Drosophila melanogaster: one gene and its partners. The protein of the gene in region 4 purifies or fractionates together with the protein of the main gene of each other region. This does not show direct contact. Each region holds a gene or a part of one and is shown on either strand. Other genes may lie near its edges.

Region 1 (6,324 bases), on a different chromosome or scaffold from region 4:
GGAAGGGTCTGTCAAGGTATATTATTTAATAAAGCTAAATAAAAACATTAAATTATTGTAGTTTCAAAAGGAGAAGTTATTAATGCTATAAGGTGTATAGTAATTACAAGATTTAGTTATTATTTTATATAGAGCGAGGAAGTGCAATCCCATTTATTCGATTCATATAAGGACAAATTTAATTTTAAACAAAAATCTTCTTGGCCAATTCTTACACCATAGAATACAAAAATTTATGCTTAATAATAGACACTTTCAATAATTAAATCCTCCAATTCTTTTCAGATAAACTAAGGTCTGGCAACCGGGGAGTGAATTCCCGGTCTGTTTTTTGTACTTACTGTTTTTGCCGCCCAGCAGATAGTACTGGATCTTAAAGTACTCCTCATGCCCCTTCAGTTGGGTGACCTCGTTCTCGGTCTTGCCCTCGCTGGTGGTTACGCTCTTCTCCTCTGACCACTCGGTGTTGGCTTCTCCCAGGAACCGAATGATAATACCTACGAGAAACAAGTGGCTGTATTTACGGAATGACAATCGACGACGTCACTGTGGCGCTTTAATTTTAGCTATAAATAATATGAAAAGCTTTCTAAGGCATACTCAACGGATGACATCATCGCTACCAGGCAGCATCTGTCTCCCGTGTTTGGTGACCTCAAAATTTGATTATGGTGGAATGTTTGCCACATAGGTTACATGCCCCCGTCAAATGTACTACATATTTATTTACTTTCTTTTGTATTCATTCACACTTGGAGCTATTTATAGTTGTTATCGCCCAACTGAAAAGAGGAGAAAGTGCATTTCTTTGGAGGGTTTAACAACCGCCAGCTTTCTGAAAACAAGGTCGTTTAGGCACCGAAAGAGCAACCGACATTTGTGGGTGGTGCGCCGGCTTTTTGCGTCAGGATTTTAAGAAGTTAGCAAGGAAACTACCAACGACAGCCAGTGAACATCCTGCACATTGAAGACGAAAGTGCTATGTATATTTATTTACTAAATTTCCAATTAATCATTGACTCTTACACAGGTGTCGTCACTCCTATGAGTAATAGTAAGCAGCTGGGGTTTTAATTAGCATTCTCCAGCGCTGCCCACAATTGGGACTTGGATTCGCACTTACCTCGGACTTTTTTGGGCGAGTCGAACGTAAACTTCACCTGGCCGTTGACCGTCTGACCGGCGTAGTAGGTGTTCCACGGGTTGTCCAATTGCAATTCACAACCTTTAAGGCCCATGTTAGAGATTCTGTGACTCAAGGCACCAATAAGTTAACGACTTTTCGGTCTGTTTTGAAACGCCCTGCGGTCGCCGAATTCAGAGATTAGAGATGGCCGTTGTCGGTATCTAGGGATGAAAAGTCATCTAAGCTCTTGCCGATATTTTAATAAGACCAGTTTTATGTGTAGCTGCCCTGGGTATACAAATTAATGTATTTATCACATTTTTATTTAATTGTTACAATAGTTTCAAAATTTGTAAAGCTATTCATATTTTCAATACAGAAAAGTTTTGTAAGTGCTAGACCGAGGACCGAGAATTAACGTTCCAGCCCTGCTCGTGACTCACGTGAGCACGAGAACGACATCGAAAGATTTTCATCTCTATTACAATACGACAGCAAGAAGAAGAGATCTTGCGAAAATTCGCTTTTCTTCCGATTTTTCATTGATTAAACAAATCGCAGAGTAACAACAACATCGTGGAAAATGTCGCTTTTTCGCAAACCGAAGAAAATTCAGCGACGCGTGTTCTCCAGCAACGCTGACGAAGAGGAGGACGGCGCATCCTTGGATCCGGACGCCGAAATGGAGGCGCCACCGCCTCCCATAATTTCGGGCAAGAGGGAGAAAGAGAAGAGCCGGAAGGCCATAAAGCCGCAGGAGGACAACAGCAAGCCAAAGGCGCTGCTCAGCTTCGCAGATGATGGTGAGTGATACCGGAATATAAAAAGAGTATGGAGCCAAAATCCCCAATTCTTTTGCAGAGGATGACGGCGAGGTGTTCCAGGTGCGAAAGTCGTCGCATAGCAAGAAAGTGATGCGCATGCTGGACAAGGAACGCCGCAAGAAGAAGCGCGAGGAACGGGCGGAAAACAGCGGACATCCCGGGGGCGAAAATGGTAGTACACAGCATTTAGAGTCGTCCGGTGGCCCATCATCGGGTCCCCCGAATTCCAACTCGAATCCTGCCAATGCTGGCAGATATAAAAGTGCCAGCGATCAGAGTAAAAGTAAAAAAAGTGATAATCATATGATCCAAACCGAAATACGCACAGACGACTTTGTGGTAAGGTTATTATTATTCAATTTCTTCTACAATAATACCGTTTAACGAAATTTCAACATCAGAAATTACATTGAATTATCGTAGAACAATTAGCAGCAAAGATTAGGCTGAATGAGTTTAAATGTGTTATTAAATTAGTTGGTTTTTCTGGTCTGAAGTGCCAATTTTAAAATATTAGTAGCTTAGACGTTGATTTGCTTGGCGTTTTAACTGGTCAGTGATGGGAAGTGTCTAGGATCTGCGATCCAACTATCACTCAACATAAAATTTCCAATTATAATGCGATCTTTAAGTACTACTACTGTAACTATGACCACGAATTAGAAAATTTATCACAGAACATTCTAACTCATTCTTTCTTTGATAATAAATTGACGCATACAACTTGACCTTACCAGAAGAAAACTATTTAAATATTATGTAACATTCAAAGATATATTTTTTGAATTACCAAAAATCAAAGCCATTGCTAACGTAGTCACATAAATAGTAATTTTCCCACCATTGATAGTCGCATGTCTTCCCTTCCACAAAAGCAGCATGAATACCAATGCTTCACCCTAATCGAAGTCCTTTAGGAATCCACAATAATATAAAACTTACTTATCTTGTCCCCAGCTAGTGGTAAAGAAATCTGAGACTCCCGAGGCAATTCTGAACGGTAGAGCTGCCCTTTGCGCTGGACGGGAGGATATGAGCGATGAAGAAGACCAGCAATCCGAGGATGGTGGCCATGACAAAACGCGTCACCGTTTCTCCAAGCCAGAACATTTGAAACAGATGCTCGAAAGTGGTTCCATTCCGGATGCAGCAATGATACACGCTGCCCGAAAACGTCGGCAAAGGGCTAGAGAACAGGGTAAGATTCGACACGTTGCCACACTAGCGATGGCTTACTCTTTGTGTTATATTCCAGGTGCAGGCGACTATATACCTATTGAGGAGCCCAAGGAGCCGGCCAAGCTAAGCAACCGTCTGCCCTGCGAAGATGTTGAGGGTGATCAGTCGGATGATGAAGAACGCATGGACATGAACGATATTACGGGACGCAAAGAGCGTGAAGAGCGGCGCGAGCAATTTTATGCTGTCGAAAATGATTGTATGTAGAGGGACCAAGTCCGATTTGTGACCAGAGCCAGGCTAATTACAGGTGAAGTTTTTAGACTATTGTTAACCTTTGCTCACTCCTCTGCAGCCACCGACGGAGATTCAGATCGCGAGATGAACGAGTGGGAAAACCAGCAGATCCGCAAGGGTGTTACGGCAGCCCAGTTGGTCCATTCTCAGCATGAAACAGTGCTCTCCCGTTTTATGATCAAGCCTGCCCCGTCGGGCATCGGAACCGGCATGGACGACGGAGATTCAACAGCGGCACAGTCCACGTCCACTCTGCTGGAGCAGGCCTATGCTAAAAATGCCCTTGAGCGCACCAACTTAGCCGCAGCAGTTCGATCATCCGTCAAAACCAAGAAGGAAAAGGCCAAGGCTACAGCATTGCGAACTCCTCAGGAAATCCTAGCTGCCATTCAATCGCGTCTTAGCGAGCTTAAAGAGCGGTCGGCTGATCACAGCGCTAGTATGGCCAGGATTAGTACAGAACTAAAGGCATTAAAGCTCCAGCAGTTAGAGTGCCAGCAGAATGCACCGACAGCGGCCGCAAAGTACAAGTTTTACCAAGAAATAAAGTGCTATGTGAATGACCTTGTCGATTGCCTCTCGGAAAAAGCGCCAGTAATATACGATCTTGAGAAGCGTGCACTGCAACAGTATGGCAAAAATCAACGTTATTTGGTAAACAGACGGAGGCAGGATGTACGTGATCAGGCCAAAGAAATCGCCGAATCAGCAAGTATGAGAATTTTGTTTTTAGTCTTGTCTTAGGGAAAATAATTCGATTATTAAACTATATTAATATGTTCAATCTTCTGCTTTTAGAACCTATAACAGCTGCCTCCCGCCGAACACCTGATTATGAAGAACAAGTTCGCCGCGCAGCGGAACGGGAGGGTCGGAGGACACGTCGCCGATGCGAGCGCGAGCGCAATGATCTGCTCTCGTCCCACCTGGATGGCATGTCAAGCGACGATGAAATTGCCGATCAACAGCAGGAACTGAGTGTGACTACGATGGCGCAGATAGAATCACAGTCGGTGGACGCCCTTGAAGACGTTACCGACGACTTTAGCAAGATCGAGCTAATACTAATGAAGTTTTTTGCCTGGCGTAAAACTGACATGTCGTCATACCAGGACGCATTTGTTAGCCTGTGCCTTCCAAAAGTCTTGGCTCCGCTGGTGCGACACGAACTTGTTCTTTGGTCGCCACTGCTGGACGTGTATGCGGATATAGAAAATATGCGTTGGTATCAGGCCTGCATGCTTTATGCCTCCCAGGCAGATGAAACCGTGGAGCAGCTGAAAATCGATCCGGATATCAATCTGGTGCCGGCGCTCATCGAAAAGATTGTGCTGCCCAAGGTGACTGGTGAGTTTTACACATTAAAAAAAAACGCGAAGCGGGGTAATAAATGAATGTTTTTTAGCTCTGGTCACAGAATGCTGGGATCCATTATCTACCACACAGACCCTGAGATTGGTTGGGTTCATCAATCGATTAGGTCGCGAGTTTCCCTTGAGCGGCACAAATAAGCAGCTTAACAAACTGTTTGAATCCATCATGGAACGCATGCGGTTAGCCCTAGAAAATGATGTATTTATACCCATTTTTCCAAAGCAGTAAGTATATTATTCTTGCAAAAGATTGGCCATCATGGTCTTAATTACCGCTTTTTGTTTGAACTTTAGAGTGCAAGAGGCGAAGACCTCATTCTTTCAGAGGCAGTTTTGCAGTGGTCTAAAGCTGTTTCGAAATTTCCTAAGCTGGCAGGGCATCCTGGCTGATAAGCTACTGCGTGAGCTGGCGATTGGAGCCCTTCTGAATCGTTACCTGTTATTAGCTATGCGAGTCTGCACGCCAAACGATGCCATAAACAAAGCTTACATCATTGTAAATACCCTGCCTACAGTCTGGTTGTTACCGAACAGCGAGACCCTCAAGAACATGGAACTTTTTATAGGATATATTAAACAAACATTAGAGAACTGTGATGCAAGCAATCCAATCTTTATGTAAGTAATGAAACTCACTTTTGAGAGTTAAAAGCAATCATTTCCCTTTTTGCAGGCAATCCAGCGATAAAGCCAAGCAAATACTTCAAAGACTACATAGTTTATAAAGTGTAGGGACAAACATCGCTCACATCAATCCTAACAATCAAATACTCGTTATAAAGAAATGCACAACTTATATCGGTCTGTTAGAAAATATTGTATATAAGTAGCTTCGTAAGAGATTTATTTAATTCAAGCTTGAGCTTAACAAACTAAATGGAGAACAGCCCTTCCAAACTAATCAATTTTAAATCGTTTTTCCAACAACCCAAACCTTCGAAAGTGATAAAGCTAGGAACTCTGTTTAAGGCTCATCGTTTTGTAACTTCATGCATAGCAGTAATAAAAACAATTTATAAACTATGAAAATTTAACAAATGCAAAATCTATTGCAGACCAGAACCAATTTACATAGACGCAATTTAATGACATGGGAAGAAAGATTGGAATATAGGAGCATCATCAATCAGCCTTAGAAATCGATGCACGTGAAAAGTTTTGAGCTAGCTCCACCACTTGATTCTGCATTGTCTGCAAATGTTCGTTGGCCAGTTTTGACTCATTGCTATCGGGAATGGCCTGCAGAACTTGCAGGACCAAATCTGAAATGTATGTAAGAATTAGGTAAAACGCAAATTATGGTTGCAAAAACTCACCGTGATACCGAAGCAACAGAGCATTCTGGTCCTCGTTTAGTGAGCCGCGAATATGCTGCAGTATGGCAGAAACGAATTTTCCGGACGCGTGCAAAATGCTACCAGTGATCGTGGTGAACAAGATCAGTGCAGCCAGGTGCAGCAGCAGTGCCGGCTCGTTGCACTCTAGTAGCTGCTTCTGCAGCTTCTTTTTGTGGTCTGCGATGAGC
Region 2 (4,647 bases), on a different chromosome or scaffold from region 4:
CACCTGCTTATAAATATATATTTATAATTTATATATAAATATGAAAAATATCAAAGCAAAGAAAGCTGTCATAGCTTCTAAATAATCAGTCGTGTACGCTGTACCAAGCTGAGTTTAAAAAGCAATCAAGTACCTCTAGGTACAACCACCCAGGTCTTGGCATCGCTGAGCCCAGGTCATGTGCCGCTGGTTCTGCTTGGTCGCTCGATTTGGCCATAATCGAACATGTGCGCCAAGCTGTCCGTTAGCCAATTTCGCGCTGACATGGGGCGGGGTGCGGTAGATAGGTTCTGGATCCAGGGTGCAGGGTGCAGCCATTGAAGCGTCTAATCGACGCTTTCATACACCATGCGTACCCAATGTCCTTCATACAAAGTGAGCAACCCACACAGGTGATGCGCCGGATAGTTTAAGGGACTACGGCTCCATCTGTCCAACCCGCTCGAAAAAAAAGCAAAAGTATCTCCCCTTTTACCCGTTTACCAAAAAATATGGACATTAGCAATTCGGGTTCTTGTTGATTCGTTTATTTATTTCCATTGATCACTGGTTGAATGAGTGTGTGAATGAGTGTGTGAATGAATGGGCGATTGCTTTCATGTTGGGGGGCTAAATGCATTTGCTTACAATATGATTTAAATCCTACTCAGTACAATTTTGTTTGACCAAATGATGCGATTAGTTTTATCCGTTTCTTCGTTCTCGGTAATTTAGGCTAATATTATTGAACATATATATATTTTTTATTTTCTTTTGGTTGTTTCTCGAGCTTTAGTTCAACTAGATCGATCGGCACCCTTGAATCTGACTTGACGTCTAAACATTTATGTTTTGTTCGTCACAGGACAATCTTTTGATTTACCTGTGAACTGCAAATGTGATAAGTTTTTAAGCATATTCTAGCTCCTTTGTATAGTTTCATTTGCCACTTTAATGGCCGCAAGTATGCTTTTCAATAATATGTGAAGAAGCGTCTCCAGCATCTCCAACATCTCTTTCTTCTCGATTTAAATAAATGTTGCTTATTCTTCTGACTGCTTGTAGTATTTTGAATATTTGAATTTTCTCCATTGTCGCCCGTTCTTTTACGTGTTGGTTAAGTTAAAGCTTAGGAAATGTTTGTTTTTTCTCAGCTGCAAAAATGTGTAAGGCAGCCGCTTTCCCTTTTGTTTTTCGTGTAGTCCATCTTCTTCACCGCACTCTGTTGCTTTCTCTTTCTTTGTTGTTTTGTAATCTCGCTCGATTTCGTGTAATTGGTTGTTAACTTCTTTTTATCGACGCATGTTTCAGTCTTACTACTGCCCCATTTCTAAACCTTAGTCCAAACCGTCATCGACGAAGTCGGCGGAGTCCTTTTTAGGCTTAGGCTCGCTCGGCTTTCCAGCCTTTTCACCCGCTTGGCCAAAGGCAGCACCCACATCTCCACCGGGCACAATCTTCTTGATAAGGTTGTATATCTTCGGGTTCGACGCGTACTTTGTGATGTTACCCGGATTTGACAAAATGTCCTACGAAAGTTAATAAATAACAACGATATGATTACTGCATTTGTATTAGAAATAGAAAAGTAGTATTCACGAACCTGAATGGCGGCTGACACCTCGGGATCTGACATGGCGCCCAGTATATCAGACATATTTCCGTTACCAGGATTCCCACCGGAAAATTCTCCAGATGATCCACCAGAGCTGGCATTGTGCTTTTCCTGCTCCTTACGTGCGCGCCTCTGATCCCGCTGGCGTTCCTTGATCTTACGCTCTGCCTGGCGACGCTCCTGCTTCAAGCGATGCTGCTCGATTTTCTTGGCATTCGGAGTGACCTCCTTTAGCCACTCGTCTGTCTCCTCGTCAAAGTCCAGCTTGCATGCTTGGCGCAAATCATGGGCAGCCAGCTCAAAATCTCCGAGGAGGCGACGGGCGCGTCCCCTGAACTTGTAGCCAGCCGCCAAATCCGAGTTGAGTTCCAGCGCCACGTCGCAGTCCCGAATGCAGGCATTCGGCTTCTTCAGCTTGAGGAAGGCCTGACCACGCTTAGCGTGGAAAAGGGCATTACCCGGGCTCAGTTCAATGGCCTTGGTGTACAAGGCGATGGCCTCGTCGAACTTCTGCTGGCCGTAAGCGGAGGCCGCCTGGGCGCGCAGCTCGCTCGCCTGCTCCACCTCCTCTTCGGTGGCCTTCTTGCTGTAGTTGCCCATGGGTTGGGCGGGGTCGCTGTCCGCCTCGATCACACCTGAAGGCGTCGGAAGTAATACGGATAGAAGATACATAGTTTTAATTGGCGTATTACATATATTAATACTGCAGGATTCGAATTTGGGTAAACGCTAAGTTTGCAGTGTCGAAAGGATATAAGATAAAGCAACTGCCAGCACTGCGACAGCAACGCATCAAAGTCCAGGGTTGTGACCCCCAATGACCACGTGACTCGGCAAAATTTGCACACTCACCCTCCATGTCCAGCTCCACGTCCGACTCAGGATCGGAGAGGGACTTTTCGTCCTCGCTATCCTCGGGGGCATTGGCCGGCTCGTTGGCCTTGGCACCAGCAACACCGCCGAATGGGCACTTGCTGGAAGAACAAGCCGCGGGATGAGCAAATCATACAATCGTGTTGTTTTGAAAATTGGTCAAATAGTTCGGTTAACTTACCCTCCGGCGCTGCCACCGTTGAATTGGCCAGGCGGCACCGTGCCACCAAACTTCTCCACGAAATCTTTGACGAACTGCAGCTGCGGCATGTTCAAGAAGGTGGGATTCTCAAGCGCAAAGTCGATGAAGTACTTCAGCTTCTTCAGATCCCCGGTTTGCATTGTGAAAGCCATTTCTGAATTCCGTTTTGTCTCGATGTTTTCAGATCTGATATATTAATATATTAATATTATTAATAAGCAATATTTGCTTAGCTTTACGTCCACTTTTGCTCTGCCCTATCGATTGGTATGCATAAATACCATGAAAAAGTACTGAGAATTAATCGACGGTATTTATCGCTTCGCTCTTGTATTTTTCAGTATTTTGTGCGTACGATAGTGCTGGAAAATGTGACAACTTTTAAAAAGATAACAGCCATTTTCCGCCACATACCCCAAAACTAAATACATATATATTCACATAGGATCGAGAATGTAATGAGCCACAATTAAGTCCATAACTATTGCTGAAGAAGTTTATGTCTGCCCCCATTGACATTAAAACAGTTTTCTGTTAATCATTTTAGTATTTTTTTATTTTCAATGTTTCGTCATGTTTTTTGTTTGCTTTTGTCTTTTGTTTTCTTGATGTTTTTTTTTTAGCTTTTTTCATTTTGTTTTGGAATTAATTTATTAATTAATTTTTATGTTTACTTATTGATTTAGTATCTTCTTCGCGCTTATCTCTGTCGTCGCCGCCTATTTCGTGTTTGCATTGTTTTTTTTTCGGCTTTCTTCGCCTTTTCTTGTGTTTGGTGTGTGTCTGGTTGAAGGGGTTAAGGGTCAGAAAATGGTGAAAACTGGTGGTGATGTTCGGGTATCGGAAGGGAGTGGGTGGTGTCGATGGCCTATTCTGAGTGCCCTTCTCTCCGTGCTCGCACGCATACAAATATTTTTCATATCCGTTCACTTTAAATAATTTTTTAGCATAACTATTAAATAATTTGTTTATATATAATACATACATATATGTATATATGCACACATATATGTATATTCAGTTTGTTTTTCGTAATTCGTTCAATTTAAACTTTTTAATTATTATCGTAATTATTTTTTAATAAAATACTCAACAAATAATTTAATGGGCTTTGTTTTTCTCGTCTGCTCAACTGTCTCATCGTTTTTTTCTGCTGCTGTTTTTATTTTTATTTTCGTTTTTTTTTCTTTTTAAGTATTTATATTTTGATTCGTTTAGTACTATTTAAACACTTAGTAGGTATTAATTTGTTTAGCTTTATACGCTTGCGTGTGTGTTCTTGAGTGTGACAACTTTCTCTATGAAAAACTCAATAAAATCGAAGAATTAAAGACAAATAAATTAAAACATCTCGTGGTTTTTTTTATCAAACATTTCGCTTGTTTATTTTGTTTCTCTTTTTGTTGTTTCTGTTTCTTGGTTGTTGTTGGTTTCGCTGTGGATCAAACCGAAACCGTTAAGTGATAATAAAAAATAATGATAATGGTAATCAAAATAATAATAATAGTTTCCTTTTAAATATGTATAATTTATAATTTAAAGATGTGCATTTTACATAATTATATAATAGATAGATTCGCTCTCATTCTCTATGCATCTCCTTTCATTATCTTCACATTCCTTGCTTTCCTTTATCTTTTATCAAATTAAATTAACACACACTCGCATCCAATCGTTATCGACAATCGATGACATCACATCGATATACACACACATTTAGATATCGACCATTATGGGCTAATTCTAACGGTTACATTAAACGGAAAAAAAAATCGGAATCATTATCCTCATATCATTATTCTTTATAGAGATGCAAAAAAAAAATTTAATCTTACAAACTGATTGGCTAAAATTAAAGGAAAGTACGTACATATACAAATTTGCATACAAATCTGAAATGGTTCTTCTGGTTTTTTATGTTTTTTTGCTGGTTTTCTTCATTAATTTAAACTTTAATTAGGCATAAATTATTTATATA
Region 3 (3,615 bases), on a different chromosome or scaffold from region 4:
TTGAGCAGCGTGCCGTAGAAAAAGTTCGTTGTTATCTTCTTGACATCGCCCTCGTCCGGATGCATTTCCGATTTCTTAACCTCCGGCCGACAGACCATGAAGTGCCTGTACGGCAAATCGAATTTATCCTGGCCCGTTTCCGATGTGATGTTGTGCAGAAAGCAGTGCCACTGGTGCAGCACCTGGGCCAGGTGATCCAAGCCACCGTAATGGAAATGTAGAATCTTGTACTGCGACTCCCGCGACGCGATCACCAGCTGACCCGAAGTGCAGTTGTCGTCATTGAAGAAAAGGCGCAGAGATCGCATTTGGCTTAGGTCAACGGAGAAATGGCGGCACTTCATCGCGGATTTTTGGCGATCGGCTGGCGTCGAATTGCCGCTATCCGGGAACTCCAGGTTGTGCTTGAAGGCCAGCAGTTCAGGTGTTGTCCACTTTGGGTTATCGGTTGCCGGGCCATCGCCTACTCCAGAACCATTCGTGCAATCGGAGCAATTGTTACTATCCGGCCGGATGGTGATGCAGTTGAAGGACTGCGATATATTGCTGTTCTCGATCTGCGGATTGGAGATCGTTATGTTCACCGACGTGATGGGGTTATTCTTCAGCAGAGCGGTCAAGTCGTCTATGGATGCAGCTTGGCCACCCAGCAGCGGTTGCAGTTCGTTCTTTAGCTCCTGCATATCCGCCGCGTTCTCATCCTCCTCCCGAATGTCCCTCTCCTGGATCGTCTGCGGTATGGTCACGTGGCAGTAGCCGTTTCGAGAGTCCGGCGACTTGCTCCTCGGATTACACTGACCCCGGCAATCGTCGGCATTCAGATTGGTATACTTGCATAGCGACGAGTTCGGTATCCAGGTGAGCAGAAGCGTGGGCCTCTTGGCGCTATTATACTGATCTACAAAGGTCTTTGTCGTGCAGGTCAAATAGCCCGGATTGTGCAGTATATCCGACTCATCGCGGGCGATTGTGGGCGGATGGATGCAGACGTTATTCTTGCAGAAGAGGATTTCGTTGTCTTCGTAAGCAATATCGATTTTTCTGTCCAATCTCTCGTCGCCCAGTATGAAACTAGAAGCCTTTTTGATAATGCTTCCTATGGGCATGGTCTCGAATTTGATATCCTTGAGCGGGTAACTACTATATGGTGAATTATAGGTTTCCTTCCCGGAGTTATCCTAACGGATTTACTAGTGGGCGGATGGGGAACTTTTTTCTCTGGTTAGCTTCTGGTTTGGCGGATTTTTGTTTGATTATGGCGGTCGCTGGTTACCATAATTTTAGGAATTGGTTGGCTAAACCTTTGATTCGACAATTAATTGTAACACAGCGGATTGGTGAAAAAAAAAACTATTAACTTTTGATTCTAGGGACCTCTCACAAGCAGGATGACATTGGAGGAAAAGAATTTACGCGAAAACTCAGCGCAGGCGCAGTTAACAGTCGATGGTTTTAAGACTGGTTTCGATATTTAATACTTTAAAAATGTTGAGGATTTATTAATTCAAACTGCAATGAAAAGGTATATTTTTAATAACAATGATAATATATTAAATGCGAGTAGGTGTATATTAATATCTTCTTATTCAGCTTGCAAATCAATCAAATCTAAGTCTATTTCTATAAGCTTTCTTCACATAATCATACTATATATCAAATGGAATACAAAACATATTATATATACATTAATTAAATATAATTTAAATAAATTTTAGAAACTACAGGAACATTGGTATTGGAACAGCATATGTTCCAGCTATCGATATCAGACTTACCTTCACTAACGTAAATAGAATCAATAGTCGCTTAAAAATATTGACATTGCATTTAGTTTTGTCTTGAGTTCTTGATAAAATGGCGAGCAAAAGAAAGCACCAAGCATCCCAGAAAGTGAAAGAGGAATCCTTCAAGAAACACACGCTTGACTCCGATGAAGAGGATTCTGACGACTACGAAAGGTAATGCTTAAAATGTGCAAACAATTGATTGTTTTGATTTCGGCACTTTTTGTTTGCAGGGAATACCTCAATGATAGCGACATTGAGGGCGGCGAGGAGGGCGTGGCAAAAGTGGAAGACGATGTGAAGGTAACACCCTTCAATATGAAGGAAGAACTGGAGGAGGGACACTTCGACAAAGATGGTCACTACCATTGGAACAAGGAGACGGAAGCAAAGGACAATTGGTTGGACAACATAGACTGGGTTAAAGTAAGGATTCCATCACTGCTGCCTGTACACAATCATTTAATTTAAAAGCAATATTTGCCTAACAGATTGGCACACAGAAGAACGCCTTCGACCCGGCAAAAGATGAAGAAAACTCTTCCGATGAGGAGAAGAACGAACCCGTGGGCAAGGCCTTTAACTTGTCCATGAACCTCATGAAAATGGTCGAGTTTATGAAACCGGGAGAGACTGTCAAGATGACCCTGCAGCGTCTGGGTAAGCAGCGCCCCGTCCTAACAACCCTTCAGAGGATTAAGCAGAAAAAGGCCGGCATCGTTGACCCAAAGACACAGGAAATCTCTCAGCTCACCGAGCTGGCCAACGAGATTCTCTCGAAGACGGGCAATATGGATATATATCAGGATACGTACGAAAGCATCAAGGCCAAGATCGCCGATTTGCCAGGAACGAGCAAACCTAAAGTAGCCGATGATATTGATATGTATGCAGATGATTTCGAAACGAAAGAATTGGAGCGCTCTAAGACATCGTCGAGTGATAGCTCCAAACCAACGACGACTACCTCAGAGGTGACCTGGGAGTTTAAATGGTCGCAGGATGAGACTGATATCCAGGGACCCTTTTCCACGGAGAAAATGTTGAAATGGTCCCAGGAGAACTACTTTAAAAACGGAGTCTATGTGCGAAAGTGCGGCGAAAACACAAATTTCTATACAAGCAACCGCATAGATTTCGATTTGTACTTGTAGGCCTTAGTTAACAAATGTTAAATTCTTTGGGTTTTAACATGTTTTCTGCAAATACTTTGTTCTATAATTGTATACTGTATACTTTACAAGAGGTTTCAATTAGTTTGCACTTGGTTTGGACTTAAAATAAAATTCATATTCATATTGATTCTGTCGGCTCTTAAATTTGGTCAGATATACCAAATTATGTATCCGAGTTACTTGCGCTAGTGACGAATAGCGAAAGATTCTTCTATTAGACCCACTAGTTCAGTAAGAGATATCTGATAGTCGAGAAACTCGAAAATGGCACTGTTGTTTTTGAAATGTGCAAACGATAGTGTGGCAAAAGTATCGTTTGGGCGGTGATAGTGCAATCGATGAATGTGCAGCTTTAATTTAAGCTTGTGAGTCTTGGCAACTCTAGAAACACATCGATTAACGTAGCTGAAAATTGTTTTATGTTTAATTAAATACAGGCGAATAGCTCAAGATCTTTTTGGTGTTATGAGCGTTCAAAAGTCACTACCGTTTCCCACTTAATACTTTGTTAACTGTTAAGTTCGTGCAGCAGTTCCCCAATTCTTGCAGAGGAAACAAATTTACGAGTGCTTCGGTGTTGTTGGACACACACTCACTTTTCATCGGTGGAAAATCAAATTTGGGACCAGGCGCAGAAGATTCGTCAGGATGACGAC
Region 4 (4,631 bases):
CTGACGACGACCCAGAGTTCATGGCGCACTGCAGCAAGCCTGTGCCGGAGCCGCCAATTGTGGAGAACTGGATGGGAGGTGGCGGAGGAGGAGGCGGCTTCCAGGGCGGAGGAGGCGGTGGTCATCCCTACCACAATCGCTACAACGGACATCGCAGAGGAGGCGGCGACAGGGGCTGGCAGCGACGAGGAGGAGCTGGCTACCACAACAACCAGGACAGGGGATTCAGGGGTAATACCCGGGAAGAAGCTCAGTTTCTATTTATAGCTTACCAACGCATTTGTTCCCACAGACAACCGGCGCAACAACAGATACGATCACATCGATCGCCGGAATCGGTACGAAGGAGGCGGAGGGTCCGGAGGATCTGGAGGCTACAAGCGCTCCCATGATCATAACCAGAGAAATGATACTCCCAATAACGAACCACCCATGAAGGTCAGACGCGACTATGGAAACTTTGTGCCTGCATCCAAGGATTAGTTATCGAATATATCAAATAAGAATACTCTGCATTACATTGAAATATTCACATTGACGTTTATTTAATGGACTTAAGACTATACTAATTCCTGTAATCCCGCTTAAACGGCCGACTCAGATATATCCTTTTGTTCCTTGTCCTCGACAGCCGACATGCCCACGCCCATGGCGCTAAACAGATTGGATACAGGACCTGCGCCGCCAACCTGCGATTGGTAGCTATCCATCATGTTGCGCAGCGTGTTTACGTTTATATTGATGGGCTCAAAGTCCTCAATGTCATCGAAATCGTCCTCGTCCGCCTGTGGAGCTGTCTTCTTCTTGCCGTGGAAGGACTTGCCCACGCTGGTCTGAGCCAACTCGCGGTCCATCTGCTCCATATACGATTGAATCTGTCGATCGAGTGGGAACACACTGCCGCCTCCAGAAAGTGCATTTAGATTACTCTCCATGTCGTCCTCGTCCGCGTAGTCGCTCATCTCCGAGGTGGAGTCCCAGTTGTCCTCGGGTATTACGAAATCCAGGAAATTCCGCACATGGGTGCTGTCCGGTTCCTCCGGCTGGATGACGGAATTGCGCTGGCACGCCTTGCGCATGGAGGGATTCTTCTTGACCTTTGCTGTCAGTCCTGTGGAACCGTTTGCCTGCGGCGGCGGCTCGTCATCGTCTGAGTCCAGTTCTGGCTCCTCGAGCCCTCGGTGCTCAATGCCCTCGTAGTTGGACTGCCGATCTAAGAACTCCGCCAGCTGCTTGGTGAACTCCTCGGCATTCATTTGTCCGTTCGGCTTGTAGAGCTTCTTGGGTCCGTAGCGATCCTGCAGCATGGAGTCTAGATCCTCAGCGCTGATATTCAACCACTCATCCGAGTCGCTGGGCTGCAGGTTGTTCTCCTCATCGCGCAGCTCCTCGGAAGCAGCCTCCGCTGGATGGAGCAACAGGTCGAGGATCTCGGCACCCGCTCTGGAGGCTGTGCGGAAACGCTCCTGGTTGCCACGAAAGTACACCTTGGCCTTGTTCAGCAGCTCCTGGTACTCGGCACTGCCCTCGATGTTGTCCCGGAAGTAGCCCTTGCTCAGCAAGCTCCGCAGATACGATCGCCAGGCAGGAAGGTCCTCCAGCTGTTGGCCCTCAACCCGCTTGGCTTGAGTGGCCAGGATCTCCAGTCCACTGGCCAGCTTCAAGCCCAATAGTTGTTCCTTATATCGTTCCGGCTCGGATACAGGATCCGTGAGATGCCAGCCGAGTCTCTTCTCGGGCAGATACTGCTGGTGCGACAACATGGCGTACAGACAGCGGGTGAAACGCACGTTGGTGCGCACGCGTGTGGCCTCCGGTGGGAAATATCGCATGGTGCGAAGTGCCTTGATGTCCAGCGAGTCCCGCTCGCAGAAAGCCCTAACCGCCGAGGAGAGCAGCCTTGGCTTCTGTTTCAGAAGCTGTGCAGCGCTATGCGGGAGCTCCAGCACCTGGCGATGAATGGAGAAGTGCGGCTGAGCGATCTGGTACTCCTTAAGCCGCGCGTCAATGCACGACTGTATCTCCTGCGAGCAGCGGTACAGGGTGGGATTCATTCGTATACGTTGCACAGCCATGGCCATGGTCAGTGGCTTGTCCTGGCTGCTGGCGGCGGAGTTCTGGAGAAGCTGCAGGTGACCACCGACCAGATAAACGCGCTGCTCGCACGTTTCCGGAGACGCCCAGTCGGGCAGGGCGTCCGCCGCCTCGATGAGCAGGAACTCGCCATCCGAATCGCTCACCCGTGCAATGCAGTCGCCGCGTGCACGTGTGATCTCCGTGAGCAGATAGACAACGAACCACTCGTCGCTGATGTTGTCGCCATAGTGGGTTACGCCGTGGAAGTGCGGTGGGAGGTCGCCTGGGCGGGGACATGGAAATGGATGATTTCGAATTGCAGAAACAAAGCTATTTATAGCACATTGTGCGCATACCCAGTTCCGCCTCCTCCTCCGGGTTTGTCTCCTCGTTCAGCAGGCGCTCCTCGGCGCCGCCCAGCCTCACCTGAAGCTGAAACTCGTCCTTGTGCCACAGATAGCTGCGCTCTAAGGACTTTTCCCTTACAATGGCCGAGATCTCGTTGCGGATCTGAAGCATCAGTTTGCGCAGCGCGCCCTCATCCTGTACGTTGTCGGGGATCTTGGGAAAGATGTAGTACTCCACGAAGTCCTCCTCGCGGACGAACTCCAGATTGCTGCCTGGAATCTTGCTCATCCTTTGTCCTTTTGCTCCTCCTCCTTTTTTTTATTTGTTAGGGCGTTCGAGGTGACACTATCGACATGAGTGCGTGCTTCCGAACTGACTATCGTTCAAAGAAGTTCGTTCACACTGGTCGCGCAGCAGGGTTCCGCTTCAGCAGAGCGGTGGAGGACGTGGCTAAGCGCTTAGCGGTGACCCAACCCATTCCCGTTATTTCTCTCAGCGATTTTTTATGATTGAAGATTAGGTATGAACCGAAGATTAGGCATTAAATTCCTTTACTAAAAGTGCATATTTACAAAAGCTAGCGGTCAGTTTTATTGAAAGAAATGGTATTTAAATATTTACTCGAGAGCACTTTAAAGTGCTCTGAATAAGTCGGCCAAACAAAATCCCGACTTGTTTACACATTAAACACCCACTCCACTTGACACTCCAGCTAGTTGGACCAATTTTTAGTAAATGTCGTTCACTCACCCATCATTGCGGCATTCCGATCCGCGTAGTTGTTGTAATTAGAAACGCCGCTGCGTTTGCCACTTTGCCCAACTCCCATCGCCTTTTCAAAGTTGATAGATAGACAAACAGACACCCAAAAGATATAAAACGCTATCTAAAGTCTGCTATTTCGGGACTTTTATTGCTGTCACCATATGAGTCTGAATCAGACAATCGAAGATTCTCGTGGAAGTTGGACCTAAACTAACCAGAAACAAAGTCCAAAAGGGGAAATACATCGTCATGTTCTTGGAAAGAATACTAGTGAGCGTGGTAGGTAGTTTTTCAGAATAGGATAAACTTAAGTGAATGGCATTTGATTTTTATGTCCCCACCGCCCAACAGTTACTGCTCAACCTGGTGGCTCTGCTTATGGGAGCCACTGTTACCACCCGGCGCATCCAGCCGCGGGAGACAAACTCCTGCGAGGGCCGTCAGAGTCCCGGGCCCATCTGCGAGTCCTGCGAGCTGCTGGCCACCTGCGTGCGTCACTCCAACGGATGGGTGAACATTCCCGTGGAATCGTGCGACGTGGCTAATGGATACTACTGCAACGCCCGGCTGGGGAGCTGCACCAACGAGACGGGCCCGTGTCATCCGTTCGGCATCGAGGGCAACTTTCAGTGCACCTCGCAAGGCATCTTTCCAGATCCGTACGACTGCCAGAAGTACCACATGTGCTACTTCGTGGGGGCCACTCTGGTGGCTGCTGCCGTTGATTGCGGCAACGACAAGGCCTTCGATGCGACGACTGGCCAGTGCACTTTGACCCTGACTGACTCCGTCTGCCTGCAGCGACAGTACTACTGCCCCAATGCCGGACACGTGGCCGCCTGGCCCACCAATCCCAATATCTTCTACGTGTGCAAGTCGACGGTTAACCAGAACCTGAACGACACCATCGTCATCTACCCCTCGCTGCACAGGTGCAACGATGGCGAGACCTTCGTGGACTACGTCTGCCGCAGCGGATCGAATGTCCTGCCGCCCAGCACCGATGATCCTTCGGTGATCATCGAGGATCCCAACGACGACGACTTTTCGGTGCTGCCCAACACCTGTCAGCACGTGGGCTTGATGGCCGATGGAAACGACTGCCGGAAGTACTACTACTGCTCGGCTCTAAATGGCACCCTGCGGCACATGGACTGCCCCAATGGGACTTACTACCGACCGGAGCTATCCTCCTGCGTCCTGGGAAGCTGCTGAGGAAGATGCATTCCTGCACTTTATTTATTCCTCTTCAATGGATTACATTTAATAAACAACTCATGTTTACCCTGGAATAACAATCTATTTGACATGAATTTATGAATTCCCATTTCAAAAGGTATCAGTTTGATAATAAAGATTCAACCACCATGTCCGTGGGTAATTAAACCAGAATGAGTTCTTTGTTTTTTTCCAATAAAAGTGCAATAGAAATGGACTAGTAC

The links.
Region 1: the proteins of ecd (region 4) and CG1965 purify together in Drosophila melanogaster (affinity purification with mass spectrometry, with the first as the bait; one large-scale study listed by BioGRID). This does not show direct contact.
Region 2: the proteins of ecd (region 4) and HIP-R purify together in Drosophila melanogaster (affinity purification with mass spectrometry, with the first as the bait; one large-scale study listed by BioGRID). This does not show direct contact.
Region 3: the proteins of ecd (region 4) and holn1 purify together in Drosophila melanogaster (affinity purification with mass spectrometry, with the first as the bait; one large-scale study listed by BioGRID). This does not show direct contact.

Annotation. Positions count from the first base shown.
Region 1 is NT_033777.3:7,065,801-7,072,124, forward strand, and holds CG1965 (uncharacterized protein), read left to right. Parts: upstream 1-1,600; 5' UTR 1,601-1,709; coding exon 1,710-1,929; intron 1,930-1,987; coding exon 1,988-2,289; coding exon of another isoform or gene 2,290-2,294; intron 2,295-2,907; coding exon 2,908-3,148; intron 3,149-3,205; coding exon 3,206-3,388; coding exon of another isoform or gene 3,389-3,396; exon of another isoform or gene 3,397-3,484; coding exon 3,485-4,138; intron 4,139-4,224; coding exon 4,225-4,773; intron 4,774-4,831; coding exon 4,832-5,024; intron 5,025-5,093; coding exon 5,094-5,417; intron 5,418-5,472; coding exon 5,473-5,524; 3' UTR 5,525-5,824; downstream 5,825-6,324. Other genes in the region: CG1105 (uncharacterized protein), read right to left, coding at 342-497, 1,124-1,238; Ufl1 (UFM1 specific ligase 1), read right to left, coding at 5,922-6,061, 6,116-6,324.
Region 2 is NC_004354.4:3,788,338-3,792,984, reverse strand, and holds HIP-R (Hsc/Hsp70-interacting protein related), read right to left. Parts: upstream 3,017-4,647; 5' UTR 2,909-3,016; exon of another isoform or gene 2,856-2,908; 5' UTR 2,822-2,855; coding exon 2,649-2,821; intron 2,569-2,648; coding exon 2,447-2,568; intron 2,230-2,446; coding exon 1,583-2,229; intron 1,509-1,582; coding exon 1,317-1,508; 3' UTR 508-1,316; downstream 1-507. UniProt on the Drosophila melanogaster protein: One HIP oligomer binds the ATPase domains of at least two Hsc70 molecules dependent on activation of the Hsc70 ATPase by Hsp40. Stabilizes the ADP state of Hsc70 that has a high affinity for substrate protein.
Region 3 is NT_033779.5:10,434,232-10,437,846, forward strand, and holds holn1 (hole-in-one), read left to right. Parts: upstream 1-1,763; 5' UTR 1,764-1,854; coding exon 1,855-1,958; intron 1,959-2,017; coding exon 2,018-2,210; intron 2,211-2,275; coding exon 2,276-2,938; 3' UTR 2,939-3,085; downstream 3,086-3,615. Other genes in the region: TBC1D16 (TBC1 domain family member 16), read right to left, coding at 1-1,106; STUB1 (STIP1 homology and U-box containing protein 1), read left to right, coding at 3,608-3,615. UniProt on the Drosophila melanogaster protein: Required for embryonic epithelial tissue repair, but not for the assembly of the actomyosin cable at the wound edge. Probably acts downstream of rl in the regulation of Ddc and msn transcription to promote wound healing.
Region 4 is NT_037436.4:2,263,064-2,267,694, forward strand, and holds ecd (ecdysoneless), read right to left. Parts: upstream 2,795-4,631; 5' UTR 2,713-2,794; coding exon 2,433-2,712; intron 2,360-2,432; coding exon 585-2,359; 3' UTR 518-584; downstream 1-517. Other genes in the region: CG13807 (uncharacterized protein), read left to right, coding at 1-231, 293-483; CG13806 (uncharacterized protein), read left to right, coding at 3,439-3,468, 3,541-4,404. UniProt on the Drosophila melanogaster protein: Required in both the follicle cells and the germline for oocyte development.